Neurospora crassa OR74A: one gene and its partner. The protein of the gene in region 1 purifies or fractionates together with the protein of each later gene. This does not show direct contact. Links are inferred from orthologs where the notes say so. Each region holds a gene or a part of one and is shown on either strand. Other genes may lie near its edges.

What was found.
Region 2: the proteins of NCU00030 (region 1) and NCU02786 purify together in Saccharomyces cerevisiae (affinity purification with mass spectrometry; 4 studies listed by BioGRID, with this or other methods). This does not show direct contact. The link is inferred for Neurospora crassa OR74A from reciprocal best matches to the Saccharomyces cerevisiae genes NUC1 and YMR099C.

Annotation. Positions count from the first base shown.
Region 1 is NC_026503.1:2,338,521-2,354,232, forward strand, and holds NCU00030 (mitochondrial nuclease), read left to right. Parts: upstream 1-8,939; 5' UTR 8,940-9,294; coding exon 9,295-10,293; 3' UTR 10,294-10,662; downstream 10,663-15,712. Other genes in the region: NCU00026 (hypothetical protein), read right to left, coding at 365-1,459; NCU00027 (hypothetical protein), read left to right, coding at 2,539-3,210; NCU00028 (S-(hydroxymethyl)glutathione dehydrogenase), read right to left, coding at 3,372-3,468, 3,536-3,628, 3,707-4,468, 4,684-4,738, 4,988-5,075; NCU00029 (ZIP metal ion transporter), read right to left, coding at 5,906-7,255, 7,339-7,469, 7,553-7,616; NCU00031 (hypothetical protein), read right to left, coding at 11,383-11,592, 11,915-11,932; pex8 (peroxin 8), read right to left, coding at 13,777-15,712. UniProt on the Saccharomyces cerevisiae protein: This enzyme has both RNase and DNase activity.
Region 2 is NC_026501.1:9,195,254-9,211,183, reverse strand, and holds NCU02786 (hypothetical protein), read left to right. Parts: upstream 1-9,285; 5' UTR 9,286-9,758; coding exon 9,759-10,016; intron 10,017-10,115; coding exon 10,116-10,496; intron 10,497-10,559; coding exon 10,560-10,964; 3' UTR 10,965-11,373; downstream 11,374-15,930. Other genes in the region: NCU02783 (general amino-acid permease GAP1), read left to right, coding at 11-218, 278-487, 541-1,648; NCU10239 (hypothetical protein), read right to left, coding at 2,542-3,189, 3,390-3,997, 4,125-4,238, 4,655-5,072; NCU02784 (hypothetical protein), read right to left, coding at 6,148-6,255, 6,312-6,578; aro-8 (phospho-2-dehydro-3-deoxyheptonate aldolase), read left to right, coding at 7,267-8,712; NCU02787 (hypothetical protein), read right to left, coding at 11,851-14,974, 15,028-15,200, 15,263-15,307, 15,366-15,394, 15,444-15,798. UniProt on the Saccharomyces cerevisiae protein: Catalyzes the interconversion between the alpha and beta anomers from at least three hexose 6-phosphate sugars (Glc6P, Gal6P, and Man6P).

The DNA of each region.
Region 1 (15,712 bases):
AGCTTGTCATGTGTCTGGAGGACAGACAGCCTAAAGAAAGAGAGACAGACGGACCAGAGATTCACCGCCTCGCTTTCAGGCCTTGGTTATGCAGTATTCCGAGTAGTGAGACGGCGATCTCTGCTCGTAGGTTCCATATACTCTTGATACATACTAATAGCCGCGATAACCTATGGTGTTCTACCTATCGTGTTCCATCAAGAAGTTATCGCACTTATTTTCACAGCCCATACAGCGATAACAATGTTCCATATCCTTTCCCAAACTCCCATCATTAAAGCCTCCCGGGTTGTTGTAGAACTCGATCCATCGATTAATGCCTGATCCCAAATCCCAAACGCCGAATGCCTCTTCCATGAAACCTCTATTTCTCCGGATCGCTTTGTTTCTTCTTCTGTTTGGGCTTCTTGTCGCCAATGTTGTTGTAGTGCAAAATGCCCATCTCCTTGTCTTGTGCCAGCTTCTGCAGATCTCGCGCACTGCAAGGAACACCTTCGATCCTCTTCACCTTTCTTCCCTCAAAGAACATGACCAGGCCACCGACCATAGCGATAATACAGCCGACAGCTACCAGAAATCCCGTTGACCAGCTCGGGCGGTTATACCGGTTCATACCCCACATGATACCACACAGGCCGACCTGAGCCAAGGTATTGAGAATCATGCACCATATCATAAAGTCCATCTTCCAAACCTTGGTGGCCGGCGCTCGAATGCCCGTCAGTGGTGCGTTGGGCATCTTTTCCTGCGGGATGGGAACGCACTGCTTGGGGACATCAGCCGGGAGATTGTCTGGTCCGATATCCGGGGACAGCTCCTCCGTGCCCGGGAGACGAAACCAGCTGCTATGAATCCCAGCAAGCCTTAGAAGGCCTTCCTGCTGTCCCTTGATGCGGTACTTCATCAGAAGCCAGAGATCCCGGAAGCGCCATGGCGCCAGTCCGAACGCAGTGACACAGAACAGACCCGTGAGAACTTGCGAGTCCCACTCAACCCATTTTCGCCTCGGCGAGTTGATATCGTCGCACGTCGGATGGCACATGGCCGGCGCGGCGTTACAGAGCAAAAGGAACAACATGCCACCCCAAGCTACCACGTTGAGCCCATAGAACGTCCAGAAGCAGCCCATTGGCGTTGTAAAGAACTTCCAGAACGAGGAGAGCCCTTGCTTTGTGGACTCCTGCCAGGAGTACTTGGGCGGAAAGTGATAGCCATTATCAAAAGGCCGTGTGTGGTCTGTTTCTGCGATGTCGCGTTCTGCTGGTACTGCTAAGGTAACATCATCTACCGATAATCGAGGAGGCTTCGTGGTGTCGGTTTGTCGTGAGACCTGGCGGCTTACGAGTGGCTGTTCTGATGTGACGGGTTTCAAGTTCTCCGTCGTTCGATCCTTGTGAGGAGATGGATTATCGTTGGTGCCATTCAGGCTCCCGGCTGCGACATGGTTGTTTTGAACCATCGCAGCTTCTTTGATAAAGCCGTTGATCGAAGGGGGCTGTTGGCGGGCGCGGTTATCAAAGCGTGGCGGGGGTGACTAAAGATTAATTATGTGTACTTGGTATTCGTAATGCTCTGGGAAAACAAGAGTGGTGTAAGATACAAACGATGTAAAAGTAGAGTAAGATGTGGGGGTTTCTCAGAGTAAACAAGACCAAAGTCAATGTGGGCAAGGTTACTAGTACCTAGAGAAGGAGAGGATGAGGAAGAAGAAAAAAGAAAGAGAAAAGACAGCGAAGGGGCGGCCGAGAAGTCAAAGGGCCCGATAGCACTCGTCGTCAGATTTAAGTTCTTGGTCCCGGAACCAACTTGCACCCTTGCAAAGGGCACGGTACCTGCAACTGACGACACAGGAGGGTCACCTTACTTGTGTACAGGACGCACCGACTAGTGATGCAGCTGCTCAAGGGGGCAGAAAAGGAGGGAGGAAGCGAGGAAGTCGACATAACCACAAACCGCCCAAGGTAACGGCGACTAGGGGGGGGGGGGGCGAGTGACGGGATGGGCCAGACCTCAATCCAACAGCCTATACCATACTGTACGCGTATAGCCGGAGCTTAGCTCCCCCAGAAACCTGCAGACACTCAGCCCCGTCGTGACACACCCTCCAGAAACCCAGAAAGACGGCCTTTTCCAACAGAAAATATCTTGGGTCCCCAGTTCATTGGTGAACCTTTCCCGTCATCTCGGCCTACTCCATGGTCATTGGGAGCTTGTGAGATGGCTTGACGGGACCAAAACACGGCCGACGTAGCGGTGATGTCATGCCGCATGTGTCAGTAAAGCTTCAAAGTTACGAGGTAATTCGGGAAAAAGTGTTCGAATGTGTCGTGTCGACGGGAGGTGATGTGAAAATGAGATGTCGATGGGAAAAACATCCGAAACAAAAGTTGTCCATACTGCCGTATTTCAGCGGCCTCCATGTTCCAGGCTCGACTGATCTTCCTCAGTGACCCACTTCCTCCTGTCCAATACTGATAGAGAACCCCTGCTGATTGCGTCCCTTGAGGTCGTACCCTTGTGGTTGAGACCCGCTTAAAAATGGAGTCTGGATCAACCCCGCCAACGGACAAACAGATTCGCGAAAATGAACAAGACGGGACAGGACATCAGGGCAAGCTTCTTGCTCGGCCCACATCGACAAGACAACAACAACAACAACAACAACAACAACCATCTCATTCAGTCAGTCAGTCAGTCAGTCAGTCACCCCAAACGCAAGACTGTCTTACCATTGTTGCCAACATGTCGGCCGACCAACACCTCCAAGCTCTCACAAAGGTTGTGGTGAACAACCTGGAAAATCAACACGACTGGACTCAGGTCCAGATACACATTCAGGACAACCTCCCTCGACCTCTCATCTATGGACTCCCGCCAAAGCGCCTCTATGTGCACCCCGATGAGCAGATCGACATCATCAGGGCTGAGAAGCAGTTGAACCAGCGTGTTCCCCAGGAGCCTGAGCTGGAATGGGTTCTTCCGCTGCACCTGGCTGAGAAATGGTCCATTAGCGACTTCGCGGCCGTCTTTGATGCCATCACGGCCCTCCCTCCCGGAGGCGAGTCTGTGAACGCCAACGAGGATGCCCAGTGGCAGTTATGGAGGGGCCCGAAGCGTGGCAAGCGTATTTTGCTCGCGACCGTCCAAGATGATTCAACTGTTACGTACTACTGGATGCACAACGGCCTCGTGAAGCCTAGACAGAACTGAGAGAGTTACCAGGCACACCAAAGTTCCGCATCCGTCGGTGCATTGCGGTAGTTGTCTGTCTGTCTATGGAAGTACTTGTAGATGGCTAGGCTATTTGGTCTCCCCGACGTACTCTACTCATGCGTATGACATCTCCGGCGCGAAGAAATCATGGCTCCTATTCAAGGTGTGAAGATCACCTTCTGTACCTTCATGTTATCAAAGAGATCATATCCCTCGACAGCCTCGGCGAGGGGCATGATTTTGTCGTACATGAAGCTATAGACGACAGAAGGTCAGCATCTTGTGTCAACATTTGTACAAACCAACATATATTGGTGCTTACCCAAACTTGTGCTGGTTTCTACCCATCACCTCCAACGCTTCCGGGAAGATGGACCGCACCGGACATCGGCCCATCTGTACTCTCAGGTTTTTGCTGTTGCCGGGAGATTAGCCAAACCATCCATTATCCATCATCTCACGAGACAGACGAGGCACGAAGGGGAAATCTTACTTATACCCATCTTCACCCGACCAAGGTAAATCATAGTGTCCCTGGACACCAATACTGCTGATCACTCCAAACGGCCTCAAAAGCTCATACGCCGTCTTGAGCGCCGGCCTGCTTCCCACCACCTCAACCACCGCATCCGCGCCCCTCCCCTCCGTCACCTCCTTAATCCTCTTCACCATCCCCTCCAGCCCAACACCTCCCTTCTCAACCTCCGCAAAGTTCAACGGCTCCGCGCCCAGCTCCTTCGCCAACGCCAACCTGCTCTCCACACAATCCACAGCAAACAAATGCTTAGGCTTGTACTCCAGCGCCGATACAACCGCGCAAAGCCCCACAGGTCCACAACCCACCACCACCACCGTCGCCTCCTCCGGGTTCAGGTCATGCATCAGTTTAAACGCGTTTTTCGCGCCGAAATATCCCGTGGGGAAAATATCCGCCATCAACACCAACGCCCTCTCATCTTCGATCTCGGGCGGGGCCACGACTGCGGTCCCGTCGGCAAGGGGGATGCGGACGTACTCGGCTTGTCCGCCGTCGAGCCCGGGGGAACCGAACAACAAAGAGGAGGCACAGCGGGAGGAGAAGCCGTGAAGGCAGTAGAAGCAGGTGCCGCAGGAGACGGTGAAGGGGGCGACGACCTTGTCGCCTACTTTGATGGTCTTCACAGAGGAGCCGACGGCGTGGGCGACGCCGGTGAATTCGTGGCCCATGATGAAACCTGGGGTTGAGGCCTCGCGGCCGCGGTAGGTGTGGAGTTCACTTTGGGCAGTTGTTGGTTAGCGGTGGTCGGTCAGGGGTGTGCTTTTGGTGATGGAGAGAGGGGGATTGATCGGTGGCAGTGAGGCAGGTGAAAGGGAGAGGGGAAACGGAGAAGGGAGGTAGGGAGGATAGGTCGTGATGGGGTGAGATACTGGGTGAGGTGTGTAGCATGTTATACTAAGCCTAGGAAACCAAGCGCAGAGGATAGAACCTACGAGCCACACAGAGCAGTCATCTGCACCTTGACAATGATGTCCCTAGGATCTTGCACTGTTCAATCATTCATGCACTCACGTTAGCCCATGTCACACACAAAAAACTCCGTCGTGCTGTAGAGGATGATGATTTGCAGTCAGTGTGCCCAGTTGGACTCGGGACTCGTTATGCCATCTGGGGAAGGTCTTGACTGAGTTTGTGCTCAGTGTGAAATATAAGTCTAGCATGATCAAGACCACCGTATGTATGTATCTTGGAGTGGTTGGTGGTGGAGAGCGAAAACACCAGATGCGGGAGGCTTACCCTCAGGAATCGGCCTCTCCTGAACAGAAACCTTCTTGGGTCCTTCAAAGACTACGGCCTTCATAGTCTTCTTTGCTTCTGTCGACATTTTTGTTTCTAAATTTCTTGGTATCAAGAGGCCAATTAGCTTGTTGAACTTTTGTGCGGTTGTGTTTTAGTGGTGAGTCCAGAAATTGTGTGGCAGAGGGGATAACAATGGCGGTGCTAATGATGTCTAGAATGTCGCATGTTTTGTGATCGACTTCAGTTTCCCCTCAGTTTCCGTTTCTGATTTCATGCATCTAGGAAGACTCATTGACTAGTGTAGTACACTGAACGACTGAAACATACCCGCTGGAACTAATACCCGATCGGCCGGCTGTCTGAGTGTTTATCCCGAGGTTAGATCTAGAGTGACCAGTGACCACACCTATTTATACTTGGGTGGTCGACTTTGCTCCAGCGAGCGATCTCGGAGAATCGTAGGAGGAGTCCGAAGAGGGGAAAACTCGGGCTTGTGAGGGGTCAGAATTCCAAGTAGCACCGGCTTTAAGTGGAGTAGTTCGTGGCATTCAGATTCCTTGTTTTGGCACTAAGTAGGGGTCGACGTCTTGGTAATTGATATTCAAGAGGTTTGTTACTAGCCATATCACAAACTTCATTGCTAGCAATAAACCCGCCGCCCCCTTTTCCCATGTTCAAATTCATGACTTCTCCAATCTTCAATGTCCAATGTTCCCCAAAACGCCCCGTGTCCGACCGTTGTATTTGTTCCCCATTGTCATTATCGTGAAAACTCGTGCGATGACGTCCCCTGATCCAATCAAGAACGCCAACAACCAAGACGGGTGATACAAGATGGTTCTATTAGCTCCGTGCTCTTCCGTCTATGAACGTATTCAAAAAAAGGGGACACCTTTTGTCGCATGTTTCCTCATTCTACACATCGGCAATGGCGTCGCAGACCCCAAGCAGAGTCATACCCAGGAAAGCAAAGAAGATGCTCATGTTCCTGTTGTGGGTCAAGCTCAAGCTCTCCCCAAAGAGCTGCAGTGCCACGCTGGTCATGATACCCGCAGTGACGGCAAACAAACATCCATATGCTGTGCCGTTGATCGTGATGTTGCTGTGCTTGGCAACCTTGAACCACAGCACTGCGACTCCGGCGCCCAGCGGCTGACTGAGGCCACCGAGCAATGTGGCCCAGGCAATGGCCTTGAACCGGCTGTTCAGCGCCATGTACAGCGGCAGGGCCATGGAGAATCCCTCGGCGATGTTATGAACGAACAGGGCCATGAAAACATTGAAGCCGAGCGAAGGGTTCACATGGTTGGTGGCGTAGGTGATGAAGCCCTCAGGAAACTTGTGAAGCGCAATGGCTATAACAGTCTGCAGGCCGATAGAGAGAAAGGCGTTTGTCGGTACGTGATGATGGTGTTGAGCCTCGATATCCTCCTCTACTGCTGAATAGCCAGTGTCGTGATTTTCTCCGTCATGGTCATCGTGGGGTCCATCGTGGTCGGCACGGTCTGCGTAACCGACAGACGACTCTCTGGAACAAGTTCGACTCCGTACTTGGTATATGGGACTGTTGAGGGAATCTGGTACCTCGCCAGTACCCACGGACTCTCCGGAACGTATGACTGGGAGGGTGGCGGGACGCCCAGGGGGGATGGAGCGTGCACCAATGTGTCTGAAGCACTCCTGCCCACAAGGATCCGTATATCCGAAACACGGGCCATCGCCATCGCAGTGAAGCTTGGTATCCTTAACAAATGATAGTACTCTGTTCGTCATCTGGCGTACGGATGGGCGTCTGCTTTGGATGCCGCTGGTGCTGCGGGCCTGTCTTCCAACGGTATGTGAACGACCAAAAAGACTAGGCCTCACTGGGGGAACTGACTGCGCCTCGTGGTCGGTCTCGGTCGGTAGCAGGGGAGTTGATTCGGTCGCATGCCCATTCACTTCGACCATGGTCGGTGTTTCTGGAGCTTCCGAGGATAGCGTCGTGACGGACTGTCCATGGGTACGGCTCGCCCAAGGCGGCTGGTGATAATGATCATCATGATGGGGCTGATGTTGCACATTTGCGTGTGGGTTATGGGAATGGTCGCACCCAACAACGTGGGAGGGTATAAATCGATGGAGGACTCGGGAGACGACCTGAATGCCGAAAAAGCCAGCAATGTAACAGCCCATGTTGATGAGGCCTGCGGTCTTCTCGTCCCGCCCGTCCGTAGTGAGGTATCGCAAAGCAGACGGAAGCATGCTAAACAAGGCCGAGAATATCTGTGGTACATTCAATAGTTAACTCGCTGTGGTTCTTGCAAGGTCAAGGAAAGCCACTAGAGCCAGGTCTGAAGAATACTAACCATAACCCCAAAACTCAGACTCAAAGAGCCTGATATGAAGACATTGCTCCCCTGTATACTAAATTTGCTCTTGATGTTGAAAAAGCGGATGGGGACATCGACGCAAATGATAGTTGATCCAAGAATGCATGCTAGGGATTGCTCGTCAGCTTGGATGCTCGAGAAACTCAACCCACACACATAATCGATACAACGAAGGGTGATGGATACGAACCCAAGCCACTCACGACGGTCAAAATCCACCCTCGGGTGTCATTGTCGATCGCGGTTGTAAGCATCGTGGCCGGAATTGGGTGAGGATGCAAGTTTGCCGGATTGTCGCTTTACGCCGCCCGTCTGTAGTCGGTTGCTGCAGTCTCTGCTATCCGTGATGACGGCGTGTATGGCATGGAGGGGAGACGGCGATCGATAACTGTACTTGTAGCAACGGGGAACGGTCAAATTGTTGCAGTAGAAATCCTGAATATAGTCCGATATTTGTCAAGAATGACCAAAAAGGGACCTTGGCGTCAACAGGAGTCAGACGGACGAGCGAGCCTCACAAGTTTGATCAAGATGGTGTTTGGATGGGAAAAGGCAGCGAGGCAAGATCAGACGCAGGCGAGAATCTAGGTAGCTAGCAGGTCCCGTCGTGGTTGAGAACCTCAACGGCCACACACACCCAGCCCAGACAATATAAGACACAGGACAATCAATTGGAGCCCGCTCTTGGGCGGCGGGTTTGGGGCCTGGGGTTAGATTGTTGATCCGGACCGGCGCTTGGAGATCGAAAACTTCGCTAGTGCAGTGTGCGCTAGTTTTGAGGACCTTGCTGGCACACGGTAGCCGGCCCTGAATGGGCTGTTGGCGTCGTGAAGGTAAGCAGGTGATCAGATTGGATGGAAGAATGGAAGTCAATGGGTCAGATAAGTATTGTTTCGGTCGGTAGGTACAATGGAGTGCAGGTGCCTGGGGCGTCGAGTGCGGAGAACGAAGACAATGCAAGATGCAGGGCGGATGTGGAGGGAACTTGCAGCCTTGGATGCCTGGGTGTCGACTGCAGTGCCGCAAGTTGATAGGGACTGCCGGTTTTGACGTCGAAGAAGTCGATTGATTTTGGACCGAGATATCCAGGCTGAGGTTGGGAAGGCGAACAATTGCAGCTCACGCAGGCTTTTTAACAAGGACCGTCCGTTCGTGATAAGAAGCAGCGAAAGCAACAAGGATCTTTATCATCGATGCCATCATAGGTCTCCTTCTTGGCCTTGTACCTACCATATGTAGACCACAGATCCCCGATTTGGACTCGGCCCACTTTGTTTCTCTTTTTTGTTTGGTAGCTGTCATGAGCAATTGTCCATCATGAGTCTCAACAATTCAGCTTTCTGATGGATATCTATAGATGCTGTTTGGTCTAGCATATTTCTCAGGTCTCATATGGGCTAGTCAGGGTTGCTCAGTCAAAGAGACCCTGAGTTTCCGAGATCGAAAAAGAGCACTGAAATACCTATACTGCATACCTCTACCAACCTGTCAATGCGTTGGAACAGTTGGCAAAATGCTCCATATCAGTTGCAACGAAGGGACTGGACAGCATTCTATCTCGAAGTCTCTGCCCACCAGCTGAATCAGATGAAGTGCATGTGTTTGTGATGTGGTACCGTCCAGTTGCCCGGTGGGGACCTCCCCACTCCGTCGCCGTGTCACCAACCGTTCGGGGGAGCCGGGGTCACTGGGTCCTCGGGTGTCCCTTGGAGATGCCGCGGGGGCGCGAGTCGCAAGTCGCGGGTCGCGGATCGTGGGAAATTTTATTAAGTTGAGCTTTGGAACTTTTCCACCATTGCAATTTCCCTTGTCCGAATCTCCTCAGCACCTCGCTCGCCTCAAAGCCGCGGAGAGTACCCCTTGCGCGCACCCCGACAGGAAGCAGGCCCATCCAGTCTATCCAGCAGGGCAACCCCACGACAGCTAGTCACCATGTCGAAAGCTACCATCGCCGTCATTGCCGCCGTGAGCGCCGCCGGTGGTGCCGCGGCCACCGCCGCTATGCTCTCCCTCAAGAGCGACAAGAAGGTCGACACCACCTCGCTGAACGCTCCCGTTCCCGCTGCCCCTTCCAAGCCTGGTCCGGTTCCCGCCAGCCAGGTCTTCAGCGCGCCCGCTCTCGCCGGCGGTTATAAACCTGTCGACCCCTCGGCCTTCTTCGAGTACGGCTTCCCGGGCCCCGTCGCTGATCTCGCGACCCGCCAAGGCTTTGTGTCCTCGTACGACCGCCGCACCAAGAACCCGCACTGGACGGTGGAGCACATCACGCCCGAGTCCCTGTCCATGTCCGAAGGCGACCGCAAGAAGTCTACTTTCGTCGAAGACGAGGCGATCCCCGAAAAGTTCCGCGGCAAGCTCAAGGACTACTTCCGCTCCGGCTTCGATCGCGGGCACCAGGTTCCCGCGGCCGACTGCAAGTGGTCGCAAGCCGCCATGGACGACACCTTTTACCTGTCCAACATGTGCCCGCAGGTGGGCGAGGGTTTCAACCGCGACTACTGGGCGCACTTTGAGGATTTCTGCCGTCGCCTGACGAAGCAGTACCCTTCCGTCCGCATCGTCACCGGACCTCTGTACCTGCCCAAGCGCGACCCCAGCGACAACAAGTGGTACGTCAAGTACGAGATGATCGGGCAGCCCCCTAACGTGGCGGTGCCGACGCACTTTTACAAGGTCATCTTTGCCGAGGACGGCAAGAAGGGAGGAAACGTTGCGCTAGGAGCTTTCGTGTTGCCCAACGCCAAGATCCCCAACGATAAGCCGCTGCAGGACTTTGAGGTGCCCCTGGAGGCGGTCGAGAGGGCGAGCGGTCTCGAGTTTGCGAGCAAGCTGCCGGTACAGAGGAGGAAGAGGTTGTGTGCGGAGGCGAACTGCTCCCTTATTGTCAAGGACTATGCCGAGAGGCAGAAGTCGTTTGGTAAGAAGCAGTAGGGGGATGACAAAGGTATTGTGGGGAGGGGGGGAGAATAGAGAGAGAAAGAGAGAGAGAGAAAAATGATGGTTGTATCGAGGACGGTATCACCCAAGATGACCTCTTGTGTACACCTCGATTTCTTGCCGTGACGAAGGTTGGGGATAAGGTCGATAAATGGGAGTCTAGCGGGGAAGGCCGCTGTGAGGCTTGTACTTGCATACAGGCGGGTTGTGCATAGCATCATACATGAGCATAGTTTAGCGTTTTATGATTATACCCCCATTGGAAAGGGAACACTGTCCGAAGTCGAACTTGACAGGGTTCAGTTAAAGGTGTTGGTCGGTCAACTGCATATGGACATCAGGCATACGTGCGCTTCTACTCCTTTAGCCCTGCGGTGTGCCTTCCAAATCAGAGCTCATTTTCGCGAGCTGATATATGACGGCAAGCCCATTCGCCAGGCAAGCACTTATCGACACCAAGGCATCCTTGATCACAGCCCGTACAGTGAACCAAGCATGATATCAGTGCATAACGTAGGGAAGAGGTTTAAAGCTCCACAGCCAACCTTAGTAGCAGATTAGGGGGTAGCAACCATGGTGATATATTCAATGCCCACCAGGCAACTCAAAGTCGTCTGTCTATCTGATCAAGGTTCCTCACTCAAGCACCGGCGAGGTACCTATCTTTCCCGACAACATCAAGCTAGCCAAACAGGAAGTTCGAAGTTAAACCCACACACAGTCGCGAAACGATCGTAATCCCTTTCTCTCTTTCTCTCTTTCCTTTGTTCATCGTTCCCGCCTTCCAAATGTTGTTCATCTGATCTTGTCTCGGTTGGGTATACGTTCACACCGCTCTGATCAACGAATCCATCCATTCCCAAAACGTCAACCATCAACCACAGGGTATCGGTATCCATGTCTACATGGTACGTTGTGGCTGCGATAGCCATCTGGATGGAAGATCAGCATTATTGGTCAGTCAGTCAGTCAGTCAGTCAGTCAGTCATGACCCTAACCACCGACATAGGTGATCAACGTTGATGTAAACATACCAACCCCCATTCAACTACCCCCCCTTTCTATCTTCATAGACCGCAGTCTTTAACCAGACTGGTACTTCTTCTTGGAATAAGCCGTAGTAGTCGAAGCCTCCGTCTCCTCGGGCTTCTGGTCCTTCGCGGACTCATCCTTGAAACTAGAGTCTTTAGACTCGTCCTTCTTGGAATCGGTGGTGGCCCCGGTCTGATCTTTGGGGACTTGCTCGTTACCTGGGAAGGTGGTGCCACCCGTGGTGGTGTCTTGGCCGGAGGTCTGGTCGCAAAAATAAGGGGCAGGAAAAGCTGTTAGCAAGGGGTGTCTGGTGCGGTAGATGATGATATGGCTGTGGTTGGGCTGGAGGTTCTGTGTAAAAAAAAACTGGTGAGGGTTGGTGTGGAATTGGAGTGGGATGGACCATGAAAATGCTAAGGATAAGGATGCTGAGGATGAAAGGATATGAGATGATGGCCTCACGAATGTCTCCTCGCGAGTCTGTGAGTGGTGGAGAAGACAGATGTGAGACTTAGCAAAAATGTGTCTTTTGTGAATGATCATGAAGATTAGAGGATTGGGTAAAAGGAGATAGGCAACGTACGTTATCGTAAGACGACATGGTGATAGAGTTGCGAAGTAGGTTAGAGAAGTGGTTGAATGGTGCTTGTAGTAGAAGGCTATGGATATATCATGCAGATGAGGATATAAGACTCTCAATGCTCTTCTTTTAGATCTTTTCATTCTTGCAACTCGGCGACTCCCTCATACTTATACTTTTTTTTCCGTCCAAAATTCTCGTCCTCTGAATTCCTTCTTCCTTCTCCTTCCTCTTCCCATCCAAGAAAGTTCGCAGAGTAACCTTCGCCTCTCCAAACGCTTTCATCTTACCGCTAAACAACCAAGCAAGTTCTTTCTCCACTGTACACAAAAGAACAGATTCCGCGCAACACCACCGCAACCATTCCTTGCTCCTTGAAACCACAATCATACCCATCTCTTCCCGTTTTGCCCTTCCACGAGTCGTTTACCGCCCACCCAAGTCTTTCTCAGACGATACCACCATCAACCGACCGCAAGGCGAGAGGAGGAGGCCACGTCGAAATCGTCTCATGCCATCATCCTCCTTTCCCCTCCAGTCATCTTACCGCTTGCCGCCTTCAAACTTCTTGCCGAAGTGTCTCCGGTTACCTCGATATACTCACTGCACGGTAGAGGTAACTTGTCCCACGTTTTGGGTTTGGACTCTGAAGTAGCTCAGGTGGAAGCTCAAACGCGATTACCATTCACTCACGCGCCTTCATTTTCGCCTTGCCGACGAGCAAAATCCTTCCTTGTAATGCCTCTAGTGCAGCAGAAAATGGTACTTCTCTTTTCTTCTAAACTTTTTCTTTTTTTTTTTTTTTTTTTTTTTTTTTTTTTTGGTTACTTTTTGGGTCTTGCGGTCACTTTTCTCCTTTCCCCGTCCCAACCGCCTTTCCGCCATCCTCAAGTCCAACGAAAAGAGGTAGCCAGGCAGCAAGGTGTACCTGTCGTGTACTGTAGTAGTCGTTATGTATAATCAAATGCCTGCGTAATCTCCTTTTCTACCGCCTTTTGCTTTCCCGCTCTTCTCCTCTTGTCTTATTCAAGTAAAATCCGAGACAAGTTGACGCGCGGACACACAACCGGTCAGGAACATCAAACCATGTGGTTCCCTCATGGCTTCGCTCGCCTCGATGTTCTGGTCAAAGAACTGTCCGACACCATCCCCCCGATCAAGTGAGGTGAGGGGAAAAGAGAGAACGAACAAAAGAGCGAGACTGAAACAGAATTGGTTGTTCCGCGCACGCCTTCTAGCAAGGCACAATGGTTGGACTGTATCATCGCCGTAGATCCCGTAATTGGACCAGAGAAAGGTGAGGGGGGGAAGGGAAATGAAAGGCTCGGTCGGTGTACTACCTACCGCCGTATATAACAGGCCGCTTTGGGGGACGGTGAGTCTCACATGTTATGCGGGCGAGATACGCACTGTATTAGTCGTGGGTGCGCATGAGAAAATGACCAAGTCATTGTTGTTTGCAAAAGCAAAGCGGTCGTCAATCCAGCCTCATGGCTTCAACATTGAAAGTCGATAGGAGCCTCGGGTCAGTCTGCTGATGACGCTGCCATACTAGACTAAGAGGCTGGGCGTGCCACGCCCCACGGCATCATTGACGCAACTGCGACTGAGAGTTCAATTCGATGACCAGGCGAGAGAGTTGGGCAAGAAAGGAGTACAAGTCGTATCAGTTTGAGCAAAGTGTTACGACCAGCCGCGTAAGCCGGCGGGGCGGCAGGCAGGCGAGAAAGTTGACTACTGGACGGCAAAAAGAAGGGGGTATCGACATATTATTTTGAGAACTGAGAACTTCCATGCCTTTTACTGAAGTAAAGAGAAAAATGTCATTATTCCATATGCAGGAGGAAAAAACAAGACACAGACAATCAGAGCTTGGCTCGGTCCATGTTGTTCTGAATGGCACCACTCATCATGGGCACGTCAGGAAGTCCTCCTTGAGATCCATAGAGAACGGCTTGCCTGCCTCCCTTTGTCCCCCACCATGCAACACCAATAGCCGATCTCTCGACGTCCATCTCTCCGCTGACCAGGATCTCCCAGAACCGTCTCTTGGCAGCCTCCCTCATGGCCACGTCTTCGATCTGGTTCACAGCATGAGCGGCCTGGGTTAGCCAATCCTCAAAGATCCGGAGGTGGAGGAACGGCAGAGAATCTATCAAGGTCATCACCAAGGTACTCTGTTCAGACACGGGTAGCTCGGGAGTGGCCGATTGGACTTGAGTTTCAGGAGGCGGCAATGGCACCTTGCTTGCGACACCTATGCGGAAACGGACCATCTCTAAAAGTGTCTCAGCCAGCTGTGGGTGGGTTGACGAAATGGGGTACGGGGGGGAAAGGATCTGCATCAAGGTCTTGAAGGCCAGGCGGAATTGGCGCGGTGAAATGTGCGTGGGGAAGGCCGAGAACAGCGCCTCGGCATAGAAAGGGGCGAGCTTTACGGTGACGGGTGCGTTATGTGGGCACGAGAGAACCGAAAGGACGGCGCTGTGTGCTGCCTCGAACAACTCGAGCATGCGTGGCGAGAGGGGGGTTGAGTGAGTCAGGTAGGCCATGGCCGGTTGCACAATGAGCGAATCGCAGTCCTCGGGTGTCAGCTTAAGGGGGAGGTGTTCGGCAACGTTCAAGTAGAACAAGTCCAGGGTTCTGTGAAGGGGATGTGGAGGAATGGTGCCCGGGTTAAGTGGCTTCGCATCGCGTAGAAAGCTGGCACAGGCGTCCGAGTACCTCGCCAGGTTGTCAACGGACGTAAGGTACGTGAAGGTGTATACCTGGAAGGCATCGCTTCCGTTCCGAGACGAGATGAAGTAGAGGTAGCGGAGGGCCTTGAGGGTCTTGCTGGCCACGACGGGTGCCATGGCATCATTCCTCATCCGAGGATCGAGCAGACTGCGAGCCACAATGGTCTGTAACACCGCTACCGAGCCATACATGACCTTCCTCAAGAGCGTCCACAGAGCCACCCAAGGACCTTGTAGAGTCTCTTGGGTGAGGTATACTTCCTCCTCGGAGATTTCGATTTCCGAGAGCTTGCTAGCCTCCCATTCGTGCAGGAGCTTTTGGGTAAACGTGAGCAGATCATTCTGAGCCTGCAAGACAACGTTGGTATCACGCGCATGTTCGATGGCAAATCCAACGACCTTTGACAGAGGTCCAAGTCCATTGACCAACGGCTTTTGCTCAAGCTGGCGAAGAAGAAGAGCCGATGGGGAGTTCTCTTGCCAAGTAAAGTGGTTTCCTGATTGCTTGAGATCTCCATCGATAGTGCAAAGAAAGAGGCCGTCTTGCAAGCCATCTGCGCCAGTCATGCCATTCAGAGCAACGGGCACGATAGCGTCACAGTCCAGGGCGAGGCGAGAGGACTTTGAAAGTAGTGGGAAGGCGTAGGTGAGGGCCAGCGCTATCGGGCCGGGGGGAGCAGGGGGCTCTGGTTCGCGGTGTTGTCCGTGTGGTTGCTCATTGGGGCGGAGGGCAAGGTTGACAGCGGTGACGAAGGCTTGCTCGACGGTATTGCGCATCGAGTAGCTCAGGCCATGGCGATTCCTGGGATCTTTCTGACTTGTCATGCCAAGGAGAACACCGCAGAAGACAAGCAGATGCTGCCACCTGCTGGACTTGTCGTCTGCGCCCTTGAGGACGGCTGATACCCAGTCATCGCACGACAAACCACCACCTGTGCGTGGCGCCTGTGGCACCGGCGGTCCTGCCTGAGATCCTCTCGAACCTGGCGGCAGGCCTTGTGACGCTCGCGACCCGGGCGGGCCATGCAGTGCCGGGTGTGTCTGAAGTGGAAGTGGCTGGGGC
Region 2 (15,930 bases), on another chromosome or scaffold:
CCAACATCAGGTTCCGGTTTGTTCGTGGCCTCGGGCAAGTGTCTCTACCTAGGAGGTCCGGCCTCGCTCATCATTGCATATGGCTTTGTGGGTGTCATGCTTTGGTGTACTATTCAAGCTCTTGGAGAACTGGCCGTTGCTTTCCCCGTTGCCGGTTCCTTCTCGTCATACTCTACAAGATTCCTTGATCCAGCATGGGGGTTTGCCATGGGGTGGAAGTAAGACACTGACCCCTGAACTTTGATGATATATCGAACCCGACTAACCTCACCCCCAGTTATGCCCTCCAGTGGTTGACAGTCCTGCCACTCGAACTCATAGCAGCTTCCATCACCATCGGCTACTGGAACGACCAACTCAACAAAGCCATCTTCATCACCATCTTCCTAGCAACCGTCATCATCATCAACCTCTTCGGCGTCAAAGGCTACGGTGAAGCCGAATTCGTCTTTTCCATTGTCAAAATCGCCGCCGTCACCGGTTTCATGTACGTACATCCCCTTCCTTTATCCTCTCCAAAACTCTCCCTAACGATACCAGCATCCTCGCCGCAGTCATCAACATCGGCGGCTTCGACGACCCCCAAGGCAACACCGGCTACATTGGCGGGCGGTACTGGACCAACCCCGGCGCTTTTCACCACGGTTTCAAAGGTCTCTGCTCCGTCTTTGTCTCTGCCGCCTTCGCCTTTACAGGTACCGAGCTGGTCGGGCTCGCCGCCGCTGAGACCGCCAACCCGCGTAAATCCCTGCCGACAGCCATCAAACAAGTCTTTTGGCGCATCACCCTCTTCTACATTGTCTCTCTCACCCTCGTCGGCCTCATCGTCCCTTACAACCACGAGCGCCTCCTGGGAAACATCCAGCACTACTCCGTCTCCGACGCCTCGTACTCGCCCTTCGTTATAGCCATCGAGTCGGCCTCCATCCAAGTGCTGCCGGGAATTATGAACGCCGTCATCCTCATCGCCGTACTCAGCGTAGGCAACTCCGCCGTCTTCGGTAGTTCCCGCACCTTAGCAGCCCTGGCCGACCAGCGTCAAGCGCCCCAAATCCTCGCCTACGTCGACCGCAAGGGTCGACCCCTCTTCGCCATCCTTTTTGCTGCCCTCGTCGGCCTGATCGGCTACCTAGCCGACCTGAAATTTCAATCCGACGTGCTAAACTGGCTGCTCGCCGTCTCGGGCCTTTCGTCCATCTTCACCTGGGGCTCCATCTGCCTCTGCCACATCCGCTTTCGCCGCGCCTGGGCCCGTCGCGGCCGGTCCCTCACCCAATTATCCTTTACAGCACAGGCAGGCATCACGGGGTCGTACGTCGGCCTTTTTCTCAATGTCTTTGTGCTGATTGCCCAATTCTGGATTGCGGCGTTCCCGATTGTCACGTTTACAGATAACCAGTCGGCGGCTACCGCGTCGCCGAGTAAAGTGGCGCAGAGTTTCTTTTTGCAGTATCTGTGTGTGCCGATTGTGGTGGCGTTTTACTTGGTGTATAAGTTGTGGTTTAGGACCAAGATTGTGAGGAGTGATGAGATGGATTTGGACACGGGACGGAGGAGGGATGTGAATTTGCCTGTGTTGGTGATGAGGGAGAAGGAGGAGGTAGAAGGGTGGCCGGGGTGGAAGAGGGTTTATCGGTTTTTTTGTTGACCGTTTCACTGGGGTTATTTGGGTTGGAGTGGTTTGCTTTGGCTTGGGTTGAATGGTTAGGAATACCCTAATTATGTCTGGGAGTTTGTGTTGGAGTATCTGGGAAGGGTATGTCGGAATTATGGGATTATGGGATGGAATATGAAGCGAGGCGTTTAGAGTTTGTGGGCTGGGAACGAATTTGCAATGGAATTTTGATTCAGTTCAGTTCACTTCAGTTTTGATGATACCATGGCCGGGGCTTGTTAGTATACACCACTTGTAACTGTAATGACCATGAATGGAGAAGAATCAAAAGATTCGCATAATCGGCTTTTACCTTTTAAGTTCACCTACGACATTCCATCTTCTATTCACAGGTAGTTAGCTACTACCTATACCCAGACCTACGCTTGATCCCAATTCACAGTAAAGGAACGGGAGGTACTCATACACCACCGTGTTCATTGAGTCATTTTAGTATCTTGGGCAGGCAGGTTTATCGGGACTTTTCAGATATGTGCCTATTACTAGGTAGGTAAAGGAAGGGGCGATGAAGTCTTTCTGTTTAGTCATTCAGTTCAGTTCAGTGGAAACTGCTCTGGGAAAGAACACTCCATCCACCGCATGACCTATAGAAAAGGACTGTACCATTTGGACCATGAAAAGAATGAATACCGTACGCGTACTGTACCATTGACATTAGGTTACGAAACGTTTCTTGCTCAGATCGGGCAGCCATTTATACTACTAAAAGTTGGGAACCGTCCAGTCCTCACTGCAGTGTTTATGGTCATATAAAAGTCTAAGTCTTCTCAACCGGACGGGAACAGTCTACAACCACAGTCTACATAACATCCCAACACTCTTTATTGGTTTCCACCTTATCTACCATCCAGATTTACCACCGGGCATCAATCTCTATACCTCTCCCCTTCCCCTTCCACCCCTTCCTGCTCTCCCCCCTCCTCCTCCTCCATAATCTCCCCCTTCCTCCTTCCAAACCCCACCAAACTCACCACCCCCAAACAAACAGCAAACATCCCCCCGGCCACCAAAAACGGCAATCCCATCCACCGCATCCCATCTTGATTCCCCTTTTGGTCCTCTTTTCCCTCTCCGAGTTTGAGTCCCACACCAAACAACCCCGCAGCCACCGGCCTCCCCGCCGACGTAGCCGCATACGTAACAACACTAATCACCGTATACAGCGTCGCGCGATGGCGCGCATCCACAAGGTTGGTAATCAGACTGCGCAAGGGGACCGAAAGCGCGGCGCCTGCTGAATAAAGAACTTCGCCTGAGGCGAGAAAGCTGACATTTGAAGAAGAAGAAGAAGAAGAAGAAGAAGAAGAAGAAATGGGGAGGGAGATGAATAAACAGCCGAGGGTGAGGAGGGTGGCGAAGAGGCGGGAGAGGAGGGCGTCTTTGGCTTCTTCCGAGCCCATTCGTGCCCAGGGATAGGGTGAGGAGTGGGAGAAGAAAGTAGTAGACAAAAAGGGGAGGAGGAGGGTGAGTGTGAGGAGGTTGGTGAGGGCGCCGAGGGAGGGGAGGAGGGAGGCCTGTTTATTTAGGGGGGGTTAGTGGTTAAACGAAGGCAAAGAAGAAACAAAAAGAAAAAAAAAAGGGAAAAAAGAAGAAGAAAAATAGAAGAAACGAAAAGAAGAGGAGGTAAAAGAAAAAGAAAAAAGAAAAGGAAAAACAAAAAGAAAAAGAAAAAAGAAGCAAAAGAGTATAAGTGAGAGGTGTGGGTGTGACGTACCTTCCCCAAAGACCACCCCAGCCTTTTACTCGCATACTGAATCATCAACAACTGTTCCGCCTGCTCGCCCATATAGTACAACCAGAAACAAAGCAACAGCAAAACCGCCTTGGGGTTTTGGAGAATCCAAGTCCCTGCCTCCTTTGCTTTTTCCAAGTACTCTTCCACCCGCCGCTGCATAACAGTCCTCTTGTTCTTCATGACCGTTTCATCTCCCTCTTCCTCTTCATCTCCCTCTCCCTCTGCACCAATCATCAACTCACCACCACCTATCTCATCATCGCCTGTCCCAGACGAAGAAGGCAACGTCTCCTCCACAAAAACCACAGCAACCACGTACCCCACCACCTGCACCAGCATCCCGATCCACATGGCCAACCACGCATCATCATAGGCAATCATCGCGCCGCCAATAGGCACAAAGACGAACCGCGAGACGATGGACGAAGCAAGCAGGTAGCTGAAGAAGGTGGAGCGTTGCTCGGGTGGGCAGACGTCAGCAACCAAAACATAGGCGATGCTGGTGAAGGTGGTGCTGCCGGAGCCGAGGAGTTGGAAGAGGCCGCCGAACCAGACGGCGCGGATGGGGAAGAAGGTGGGGAAGTAGTCTTGGGGAATGTTAGTTTTTTGTGTATTATTAAAAAGGTAGGTATGTAAAAGATGGGAAAAGGGAAAAGGGAAAAGGGAAAAGGGAAAAGGGAAGAGGGAAGAGACAAAGAAAAAAAAAAAACTTACAGACGAGTCGAACCCATGCTTCGTTTAGTAGACAGCCAAATAAAGCGAGGAGCAAGACTTTTTTGCGGCCGATGCGGTCGGTTAGGATCCCCCAGGGGATGGCGAGGGCGACGGCTGGAGTTTTGCATGTTGTTAGTGTTGTGTTTTGTTTTGTTTTGTTGGGTTGTGTGTAAGTTTTTTGTTCAACGATCATGCAGCGTGTTCCTTTCATGGTCATGATATCCCACTCAATTTATCACCCGTTCATCTTCTCTGCCCTTTACCCTTCCCACCCTCTTCTCTCTCTCTCTCTCTCCCTCTTTTTTTTTTTTTCTTCTTTTTCTTTTCTTTTCTTTTCCTTCCCTTTTCCTTTTTCCTTCTCTTTTCCTTTTTTTTCCTCTTTTCCTCTCTTCATCTCTGCCCCCCCCCCCCCCCCTGTTTCCTCTTCCCCTTCTTTTCTCCCCTTCTTCTTCTTCCACCTCCCCTCTCAACCCCTCTCCCCCCCCGAAGAAATAAAAAAAATGCATATGAAATAAAAAAAAAAAACCCACCAGGTAATATCTCAAACACATCCTTCCAAGCATTCACCTCCGCCACTTCACTCTGCACCGGTCCCACTTTACACCTATCATCTTCAAAATTCGTTGGCAGCCCTTCCATTCCTCCTCCTCCTCCTCCTCCCAGTCCTGCCCCAATTGAATCGGTCATTCCCTTCTCATAGTACTTTCTGCAGATGATCCCCTGGAGAATGGCGAGCGAGGGCGCCGTGGTGATTTGTACGCCCATGGTGAAGAGGAGGATGAGGGAGGCGACTGTTAGGAGGGTTGGATATAGTTGAGAGGAGGAGGAGGAGGAGGAGGGGTTTTGGTTTTGGAAGGAGGGGACATCTTGGGGAAGAAGGAGGGTGGTTTGTTCGGTTGGTGGGGTGTCGTTGGGATCTGGTGGTGGTGGTGGTGGTGGTGGTGACATTGTGGTGGTTTGGTGGTTTGTTTGGTGATGGGGATGAGTGATGGATAAGGGAGTTGGAAGTGAATAGTGGGATGAAGTAGTAGGAGACAAAGTTGAAGCTGATCAGGTCAAGGGCTGGGGAAGTGAATGGAGAGTGATGCTGATGAAATAAAAAAGAGTCTAAACGCCTGAGGTCAAATGAAGTGTTAGGGAATGTGGAGTAATGGTCAAACCTTAAATGAACCACAGTAAACAAATGATAAGGGGTTTCGCATCATAGGGCTGGATGGATTGGTGTTGTATTGGTAAGAGTACGTAATGCTGGGCCGGAACGCGCAAAGGACGCGCAATACTTGCTGGGGTTGCGGTGCGCTGGCACGGTATAGGATTCAATAGCGGTTTGTTGGATGCGGCTTAACAGAACCCGGAATGATATCAAGGTTGTATTGTCATTGGGTTCCGTCTTATGTCTTGATGGTTGCAAGTGAACCAGACTCACCCTTTGCTTGAGAAGAGATGACGGGAGAGACTAACCACCACGCGGAACAGAACACCGACCAGAGGCGTATCTACGACATGAAGCATTCATAGGGCCCTTCTCGGTAACCAACGGTTTCTCTTTGTGAGTATCATACATGATGACTCTACCATGAAAGAATTGTATGGGAGTATTCAAATGTACCTTTGCTTTGCCCTGGAGACGGGACGTGTAAGCGCTAGAACAGATGCGGAAGGTCGACAACTTTATACCAACTCTATTCCAGCAACCGGCCGCGCGTTTACGTCCACGTCAAGCAACCAAAAAGAACTTTCATGCCCAACATCGCTCCCGATTCAGTCGATATATATGATGGGCTGCCCTTTTTGTCTAATCCATCGCGCCCTGCCCCAAACTCCCTTTCCTGGCCCGGCCTATGCATGCCCATCCTCTGTCACAAATATGTTTTGGTCGTCGTCATTGCTGGAAACATGTGGTATAGTATGTCGCGTATAGCTCAAGTATACAAACAGATCGATGGGCGGCTATGGGGTCCTCAGACTGTAAATCGGCTTCATATGGTCTGTTGTTTGTTCTCTAACTGGGGAGTATGGTTTTTCAAGCCGCGGGGGCAGCAACATAGGCGTTGATGGCCTTGACAGCGTCGCCATCATGGGCCTTGAGCAGCTCAGTAGCCTTGGCCTTGGTGAGCTCGAGCTCCTCGACCTGTTTGATGCCCCGTCAGTAACCTGTCCCCCACGGCGATTACTAAAGACACTCACAAGAAGGGCGACATCGGCCGCATCGACCTTGACCTTCTTCACCTCGGCCTGCTTGCTGCCAGCAGTGCTGAGAGAGTGGAAAGCGTTTTGGACGGCATCCTGGTCGACCTGGGCGGAGGACTCGTCTTCGCGGTTGGAGTCGAGGCTGGACAAAGCAGCGGCGGCCTTGCGGTCCTCGGCGGACTTGGCCGTGGGCTGAACCTCTTCCTCAACGTCACCGCCAGTGGCGCCCTCGACGACGGCAGGTGGTTGTTTGTCCTCGGCCATTTTGGAAGTTGAAACTGAAATTGGCTGTGTCGGTGGAAGAGGAGACAAATGGAAGTCGGACAGACGTCGGTTGCTAAAGCTTGAAACAGGAGCTGGCTAGGTGCTGCGGCAGTGTTACCACTACTACATACTGCAGGGCTTCGCTGTAGAACACTTCAGTTGAGTTCCCGTCGCGACCAGTTGTGGGGGCGGGGCAGGCACCACAGCGTCACAGTGGGACACATTTTGGGCTTCTTTCTAACGCTGTTCTGTTATTGGTCAATTGACTTTCCCAAGGACTCCAACTACTACCTAAACTTTGGAGGGACGGTTTTGACACTTTGAACAAACACCGTGTGGTGGGTGCACTTCAGTTGCCACTGACTCACCACTCCAGTCCCGACAAGCCGAAAAGATATTTGAATAGGATCTTCCGTCTTCTTTGAAGTCCAGTCATGACTATCAACTACCACACACCATTCTTTACCACTCTCTTTTCCGAGAAAAGACCACCATAACAGTTGTCGTCGTCGTCGTCAAGACTTTAGTTTTTGAACATTGACCCACCTGTCCTTTCTTAGTCACTCGCTGTTACATAGAATACTAGACGTACTTACTGCCAAGACATCCTCAGCGCCACTTTGGCTTCGAAATTTCCACCCACTTACACAGCAACTTCCACTTCACCATCTTCAAATCCGTCGTCACCATGAGCCAACAAACGACACCAAACGCCCCCGGATGGGCGCCCGACTCGTGGAGATCCAAGCCCATCAAGCAATGCCCCGAGTACCCCGACAAGGCTGCTCTTGAAAAGGCCACCAACGAGCTCAAGACGCTCCCGCCCATCGTCCTCCCCAACGAGATCATCCGTCTTCGAGAACACCTTCGCGATGTTGCCCAAGGCAAGGCCTTCCTCCTTCAGGGTGGCGACTGCGCCGAGCTCTTTAGCTACTGCCAGCAAGACGTGATCGAGTCCAAGATCAAGCTTCTTCTCCAGATGTCGCTTGTCCTCCTCTGGGGCGCCGACAAGCCCGTTGTGCGCATCGGTCGCATGGCCGGCCAGTACGCGAAGCCTCGCTCCTCGCCTGTCGAGACCATCAACGGCAAGGAAGTGCCCTCCTTCCGTGGCGACATCCTCAACGGCTTCCACCCCGACGAGCGTGAGCTGGATCCTAACCGTCTCGTGCGCGCCTACCAGTACTCGTCAGCCACGCTCAACTACATCCGCGGCGCCATCGGTTCCGGCATCGCCGACCTCCACGGTCCCCTCGACTGGGGCCTCGGCCACGTGCGCGACCCGGCGCTCAAATCCAAGTACCAGGAAACCGTCGACCGCATCCAGGAAATGTTGCGCTTCATGCACACCATCGGCGCCGACCAAAACGAGAAGCTGTCGACTGTCGAGCTCTTCACCTCGCACGAGGGTCTCCTTCTCGAGTACGAGGAACCGCTCACCCGCCTGCTCAACCACCCTTCGGTCCGCTCCTACCCTCCCGACTCTACCACGCCCCCCAAGAAAGAATACTACAACACGTCGGCTCACTTCTTGTGGATCGGCGACCGCACGCGCCAAATCGACCACGCGCACGTCGAATACTTCCGCGGCATCGCCAACCCCATTGGTGTCAAGATTGGTCCCTCGACACCTACTTCGGACTTGCTGCCTATGCTGCGCACTCTAAACCCCAACCGCGAACCCGGCAAGGTTACGCTCATTACGCGCTACGGCGCCGACAAGGTGGCCTCTCTCCTGCCTGCGCACATCCGCACCGTCGAAAGCTCGGAGTACGCCCGCACCGTGGTCTGGCAGTGCGATCCCATGCACGGCAACACACAATCGGTTAGCGGCGGCATCAAGACGCGCAAGTTCAGCGACATCTTCTCGGAGCTTCAGCAGACACTACGCATCCACAAGGAAGAGAAGTCGTACCTGGGCGGCATGCATCTGGAATTGACGGGTGACGCGGTGACGGAGTGCTTGGGAGGCGGTGCAGGACTGGATGAGGATGACTTGAGTACTAACTATACGAGCTTCTGCGATCCGCGGTTGAACGAGAAGCAGGCGCTGGAGTTGGCCTTCTTGGTGGCGGATCATTATAGGCAGGAGAGGAAGGAGAAGGAGGCTGAAAGGAGAAAGTCCTCGGTGGTTTAGAGGGCTGCTTGCTTGAGGATGTGGAGGAGCTGGCAGATGAAGAAACTAGGTACTGAGGCTACTAGTGGAGGAAGTGCTACAACTATTGGGGCTGCTACAGCGAATGGGGCAGCAAATACAAAATAGGATGCGAATACCAATGAGGCTGCTACTACACCTAGTGCAGGTGGTGGTACTGGATGTGGCGGGACTGCTGCTTCGGAAACTCTTTTTTCATGACAGGCCAAGGTTGGAAGCGGCTGGCATGCCACGACGGGAGATGGCCCGTGGTCGCGATATAGATATTGTGTAGTAAAAGGGTGTATAGTTTTGTGGTGAAAATAGGGTTTCTCAAAATTCAAAAGTGCTATAGCGTCTTATTCATCTTCAAATTCATCTTCAAAAGTGTGGTGGTTTGTGAACGCAGCGTGTTTTGGAAACTCGAAGCCCAGGTAAAGTACAGGGTAGTCAAGGAGACGTATCGTGAGCACAGTGACGTACCTACAGTACACCGTCCGTCGTCGGGCTCCAGCAGCTTTGGTCGGTTGGTCACTGCACAGGGCATGTTTCAGGTCATGCAACAAGCTACTTACTGGCGAGAGAAGGGGGATGGATCATTTACCCCGCTGTCTTGTATCATTGGCTTCTTCATCCCAACCACCAACGAACTTGTCGACCATTTCTTCAATCTTACACTAGCACTCTGTCATTGGGCTGTATTGTATCCCGCGTCTCAGGTAGAGTGAGTAGTACTTAGGTGGTTTGCCCCTCTTCTGTGTACATACCAGAAGGGTTCCCCTCTTTTTGATCTTCCGTCCGATCAACTTGAAACATCCGACTCGAACTGACCAAGCTTTCCACTTTGCTTAGAGCCGGCTTCCAGCAGACTTATAGCTTATCTATCTTTACTTGCGTAGCGAGTTGGTCATTCTCGTTTTGTTTGGCCGACCTCGTTACCCCTCTTCCACTTCCGGTTCCAACTCTATTCCAATACCCTTCGACGTCCATCGCAAACCCCAACAACTCTCCCCGACCAACAACCCAAACAACCCATACCAACCGCAACGATGGTCGACCGTGGCCGTAAGCCCTCCGCCCTGGCCTCCACCCCCGGCCTCCCCCCGCAACCCCAAGTCGCCTTCTCGTCGGACAACTCTCGTGTGACCGCCACTCTTCCGACCGGCGAGAGCGTCTCGGTCCTGCTTTACGGCGCCACCGTCGTCAGCTGGAAGGACAAGAACGGCCATGAGAAGCTGTGGTTGAGCGAGGCGGCCAAGTTGGATGGAAGTAAGCCTGTGAGGGGCGGTATTCCCTTGGTTTTCCCGGTATGTTGTCCGCCGCCCTTGGTCATTTATTTCAAAGGAGGGAAGGAAGGAAGGAAAAAGGAAAGAGGACATTATGCTGACGAGAAACGGAAATAACAGGTCTTCGGAACAGCCCCCGACCATGCTCAGACCAAGGATCTCCCCCAGCACGGCTTCGCCCGCTCGTCGCGGTGGGAGTTCCTGGGCAAGTCCACTTCGGAATCGACGCCCACTCCCACCACCCCGGCCTTTGCTGCGACGGCCACCAGCGCTGCCGGAGCGGTGGCGGCTGCGGCGGCGGATTTATCTGTCAAGTTGGACTTTGGACTGAGCTCTTCGGGCTTGAGCGAGGACGCCAGGGCAAAGTGGCCGTATGCGTTCAATGCGATTTACAGCGTGACGCTGAACACGGATAGCCTGACGACCAACTTGGTCATTACCAATGACGATGAGAGGAGTTGGGAGTGTCAGATGTTGATGCATACCTATCTCAGAGTTAACGTATGTCCCCCTTTCTCTCCCCTCCTTCCTTCCTTCCTCCAACTAACGGACAAAAAAAAACAGGACATCACCTCCGTCTCCATCCACGGCCTCGAAAACGCCTCCTACGTCGACAAGACCACCTCCCCCATTTCCACCAGCACGCAAACCACCTCGGCGCTAACCATCTCCTCCGAGACCGACCGCGTCTACACCCCCGCCGGCGACGACCCCGCGTCCATCCCCATCACCGTTTTCGAAGGTGACCAACCCAAGTACACTGTTCTGCGGGACAACCTCGCCAACGTGGTGGTTTGGAACCCCTGGATTGAAAAGGCGCAAGGTATGGCGGACTTTGAGCCCAAGGACGGGTACAAGAACATGTTGTGCGTGGAACCGGGGGCGGTGGCTACGTGGCAGGTGTTGGAGCCGGGCGATGCGTTTGAGGGGGCGCAGACGATTGTTTTGGGTGGGAAGACACAGAATTGAACCCAGGATGCGTGGGTGCGGGTGCGGAGGGCAAAGTGGGTTAGAGAAGGGATGAAGGGGAGGTTATGACATCAAGGCAAGGGGATGGAAGTGGTAATTGGATTAAGGGAGGAAACGGAGGATGTACATGAATGATGATAAGTGATGACAGTGGATATGTGGCAGAAGGTGAGATAGTATTGTAGCTGTGGGGGCGGCCAGTTTTGCTGGATAGATAGACAGACAGACAGACGGCAATGACTATAGTAGCTGGACAAGAGCTCATGTATAGGAAGTGAAGGACGTGAAGAGTGATGGCAATGACTGAGAGAGGCTTACATCAATATAGCCACCATTTTCACTACACTGGCTTAACCTGCTCTTTATGTTCCTAATCAGTTATATAAAGAAATGCAGCGCTGACATGAACCTAAAAACTTCCGCTATGCTATGCTATGCTATGCTATGCTATGCTATGCTATGCTATAACCCAATATCCCAGACGCCCGGAACATCCCAATTCCTACAAATGCCACATGCCACGATGATCCTGTCTGTCTATTTGCTTATACAATATGACTGACTATCTTACAACTTTCCCTTCATCTTGCTCGCCCTTCTCAAATCGCCAAGCTGTCAAGCGTCCTTGTTCCGGGCTATGGTACTGGCTACCCAGCGAGGCAGTTACAACGTCCCTTCTCCCTCCCCCCTTTGCCTTGCTTAGTTTCCATCCATTACCCATAACCCCTCACCACCCCCCCCGTATCCATCCATCCATCCATCTTCTTCTTCTTCTTCTGTCTGCATTTAGGGATTTGCTTCTTTTCTTTTTTTTTTTTTTTTTTTTTTTTTTTTTTTTTCTCTCTTCATTTTGTTCCCCTGAATATGGCCGCCGCTCGGCAGTAGCTCAGCTACCCCTCGAACCTGAACCTGCACCTGACTTACCACCACCACCACCACCACCACCAGAACCACCACCAACAACCCCCGCAACACCCCCCAACTTCCCCAACAGCGCCACAATATTCTCGCTTATCGCCGGGAGGAGCGAAGAAGCACCACCTCCATCGGGAGAAGCAGAAGCAGAAGCAGAAGCAGAAGCAGAAGCAGAAGCAGAAGCAGAAGCAGAAGTGGAGGCGGAGGCGGAGGCGGAGGCGGAGGAGGAGGCAGGGAAGTTATCTCTGAGAATCGCTTGGCAGATGGCCATGCAGGTTGCTATGTCGTCTAGTGGGACTACTGCGTAGTCACCACCACCACCACCACCGTCCTTGTTGGAGGAAGAGGACGACGATGAAGGGGGGGAGGAGGAGGAAGAAGAAGAAGAAGTGAAAGAAGAAAGAGCGGGACGACCTTGGTTGTGGTGGATGAAGGCGTCGAGGTCGAGGGAGGGGGGGGTGTGGGGGCCGTTGAGTGTTACTAGTAGAGGTGGTGTGACTGGTTCTAGTACTTGATGGTGGTGCGTGGTGAGTCCGGGGGTGGTGGTAGGCGTCATCACTTGTTGGATGTACAAGCTTGACTTTTGATGCTGTTGCCCCTTTTCTCTCTCCTTTTCCCTCTCCTTCTCCTTCAAGTGCCTAGCATCCTTAGAACTAACACCACCCCCCCTCGCAGTCTGCAACACCCCCCACCCCCAAACCGCCAACCCGCCTAAATGCACCGCGGCCGCCCAAAACTCTCTCAGTTGTCCTTTCGGAAACTCCCTCGCGAACCTGAGGACCTGCCCCGCATGCCACAGCGCCTGTCGCGCCTCGCTACTATCCGCCCATCTTTGCAGGACCGGATAAATCCGTTTCGCTTGCTCTTCGCCTTCTTTTCCCGAAAAGAGCTGTAGGTCTTCTAATGACACATGGATATGCATGAGTAAAAGGTGGAGGAGGAGGAGTTCGTTAGGTGTTGTGTATGAATACAAGGGAGCTGAAGGAGAAGAGACCAAAGCGTGGAATTGGTGCAAGGTAGTGCGCAGGTCGGCGAGTCGAGAGATGAGGAGGGATTGCGTGGTGGTAGCATTGGGGTTATTAAACGGGGATGTAGGAGTGTAAGTGGATGAGGAAGAAGACGACGGTTGTCCGAAAAGTGGGCGATGGATCGATGCCAGCTGGCGGTATTCCCAGATCAGCGACCAGAAACCATGCAAGTAGATGGAGATGGCGAACTGGACGTCTAGTCTATGGTGATGCCGGACCAAGAGGTTTACATCCCGAAGTAAGTCGCCGAGACACGGGACTTGTTCGTCCATGGTAGAGGAGGACGAGGAGGAGGCGGCGGCGGCAGCTAACCACCGAGACTTCCACTCTTCTTTGGTGCGCGCGAACCAACATTCTTTCGGGCCCGGTAACGGCATGCGCATCTCCGCGTAGCTGATGCTGGGATTGCTCAGCTGCGTCATGCTCACTTGCGCGTCGCGCAGGTACGCATGGAACGCTAGTCGTTTCCAGGATTCCATCTCCATCCACCGCTTCCACTTATCTTCGAGCTCCTTGCCTTCGTCGGCTTCCGTCACTACGATGGAAGGGAGGTAAGCGCCGCGGGTGAATTTGCCTCGGCCGCGCATCATGGCGACGGGGACCGTCAGGTGGCATTCGGCAATCTCCATCTTGCGCCGGTTGCCGGACCAGACGCCGAGGTCCTGCGTCAGGACGAGGGCTTGGACGAGCCCGAGGTCCGACACTTTGGAGTTGTTCTCTTCGAAGCGGCCGGGGATCGAGACGCGGACGGCTTCTTGCAGGGCGAAACCGAATTTGCGGAGGGCGGGCACGGGCGCGAGGACGGCGCCGCAGGCGGCGGTGATGGCGAGCCATTCGGGGGGTTGGGCGTTGAGGGACCAGTAGAGCGCCGAGGGGGAGTGGTCCTTTGAGCCGGAGCCAGAACCAGAACCAGAAGAGGAGGAAGAAGAAGAAGGAGGAGGAGGAGGAGGAGGCAAATGACAAGCAATAAAACTCGACACGGAACATAGATGCGAAGCCAAAAAGATGTGGATCCAATGGTTGATGGACCCCGAAGAAGGAAACGAAGAGGCTACCCTGGAGAACTGGGACGAGTTGGATTTGCAGATGGAGAGGACTATGGAGAGGATCAGGTCGCGGCCCGAGGAGTGAAGAGTGTGCTGGTTGAGGGTTATTAGTTGCTGCTGCCCCTGAGAGCTGGAGTTTTGCTGCAGTTTGGTTGCTTTGTTGTTGTTGTTGTTGTTGTCGGTTGGTTGTGAAGGAGAAAGATCAGACGACTTGCGTTTGAGTGCCGATTTGGGAGAGAACGAGGGAGAAGAGTGCCCGGATGTTGGGAGAGGCAAGTGCGATTGTTCGGCGTAGACGTTATCCGTTCGCTGGGGGGTCCAGCGCCAGGGAGAGTCTGTCCATATCTGAGCCAGTTTTGGTCGCATGGCGGATATGTTCACGGGATCTGAGTTTTTTGTGCCTGCTTGACCCGTTTCTGCTGTGGTGGTTGTCGACGGAATTGGGCCTGAGCTTGGACCGAGCTGAGCTGGATCAGAAGAGGGAAGCGGAATAACAGGCTCGTCATGTAACCAGTAGTCCAAAAGCCCAAAGTCCATGGCATTCAGGTCAAGACTGGAGTCATCGCAAAAGTCAAGAACTGCCAGCCCCTGAGCCTGGGAGAGCGATTGGTCGTACAAGACGTCCCGAAGAAAGTCGGAAAAGGGGAGTTTGGCCATGTTGTCGAGCATGCTGCTGCTTGTGTTATTGTTATGGGGGTAAGTTGCTTGGACTTGAAAGGCTTGTTCTGGGTTTGGGTTAGCAGTCTGAGTCTGGTCCATCATCGTTTCGGGAGTCGGTATATGGGATTCTTCGCTTTCGGTGAGCATGGGACTGTGTTCGACTGGTTCCGAAGGGTAATGTGTGGAGAAGCCAGACGCATGAGGCTCGGAAATCGAAGGTCGTGGGTAATAGGAAGCTTGTCTATCCTCATGGTCATAACCCTCAGCGCGGTCGTGGGCGGATAGATGAAGGAGATGCAGAGCTGCGTCTTCCGAGGAGCCATATTCGCAGCTTATCCCTCGATTTTTACATCGTGTACATCTGGGTGTCGTCAGTAGTCGTTCACCTAATCCCTTTCAGTTGTAGGTACGCACGGCTTCGCTTCTTCACACTTCACTCTCGCCTTCGCACAAGCCTGACAAGCATGCGTCACCCGTCCAGCACCAGGCGAGGAATTCATACGTCTCCTTTTGGCTCCATTGTCATCTTGGTGGTTGGTGCGGTGACGCTTTAGGAGATCAGCTCGGGCAAAGGCTTTTGAGCAAACCTAACCAGGACAGTGTTAGTCCAAGTTCCAAGAAAAAAAATCAGCTGCGACAGCAAACATACATCGCAAATGAAACGCTTCCCAAGAGTATGGGTCGCAATGTGTCTCTACGCTTCGGTTAGCTACATTGCTGCGATACTTTGACTATATCCGTCATGGACATACCTGTAAGTGTTCAGGCCGAGAATATCGTCCTTGTTTATTGTTAGTATGCCGAATTCAAAAGCGAGCATTGTAACCTACGTAAACAGTCGGCACACTGATAAAGTGATTGTGTGTTGGAGTGACTCCTCGACAACGGTGGTGGAGGAGGAGGAGGATTATGAACTGGTGACGGCAGTGATGGTCGATGAGCTTGCGATGGAAGATGTGATGGCGGCGGAATGGGATGAGAAGGACCAGGAAAGGATAGTGGAGCAAGAGACAAGCCAGACCCAACCCCGGGCCGGTTGCCGATGGGACTGAGGTGGTGGATCGGACTCGGACCCGGATGTGGTTGATGACTGTGGAGAATCGAGTCTATACGGGGAGCTTGGCCCGATCCTTGCCGGTATGGAGGGTCCGGAGGATGAATAAGATTCCCAATGGGACTGGCCATGGTCGATCGATAGTGGAAGATGGCTTCAACACAGGTCGAGTGGCTTTGGATGTAAAGACGCTCTTAAATTGCCACTCAACAGCACTACCCTAGACAGTAGATAGCTCGGCTGTGGTAATAGTACAATGTCAC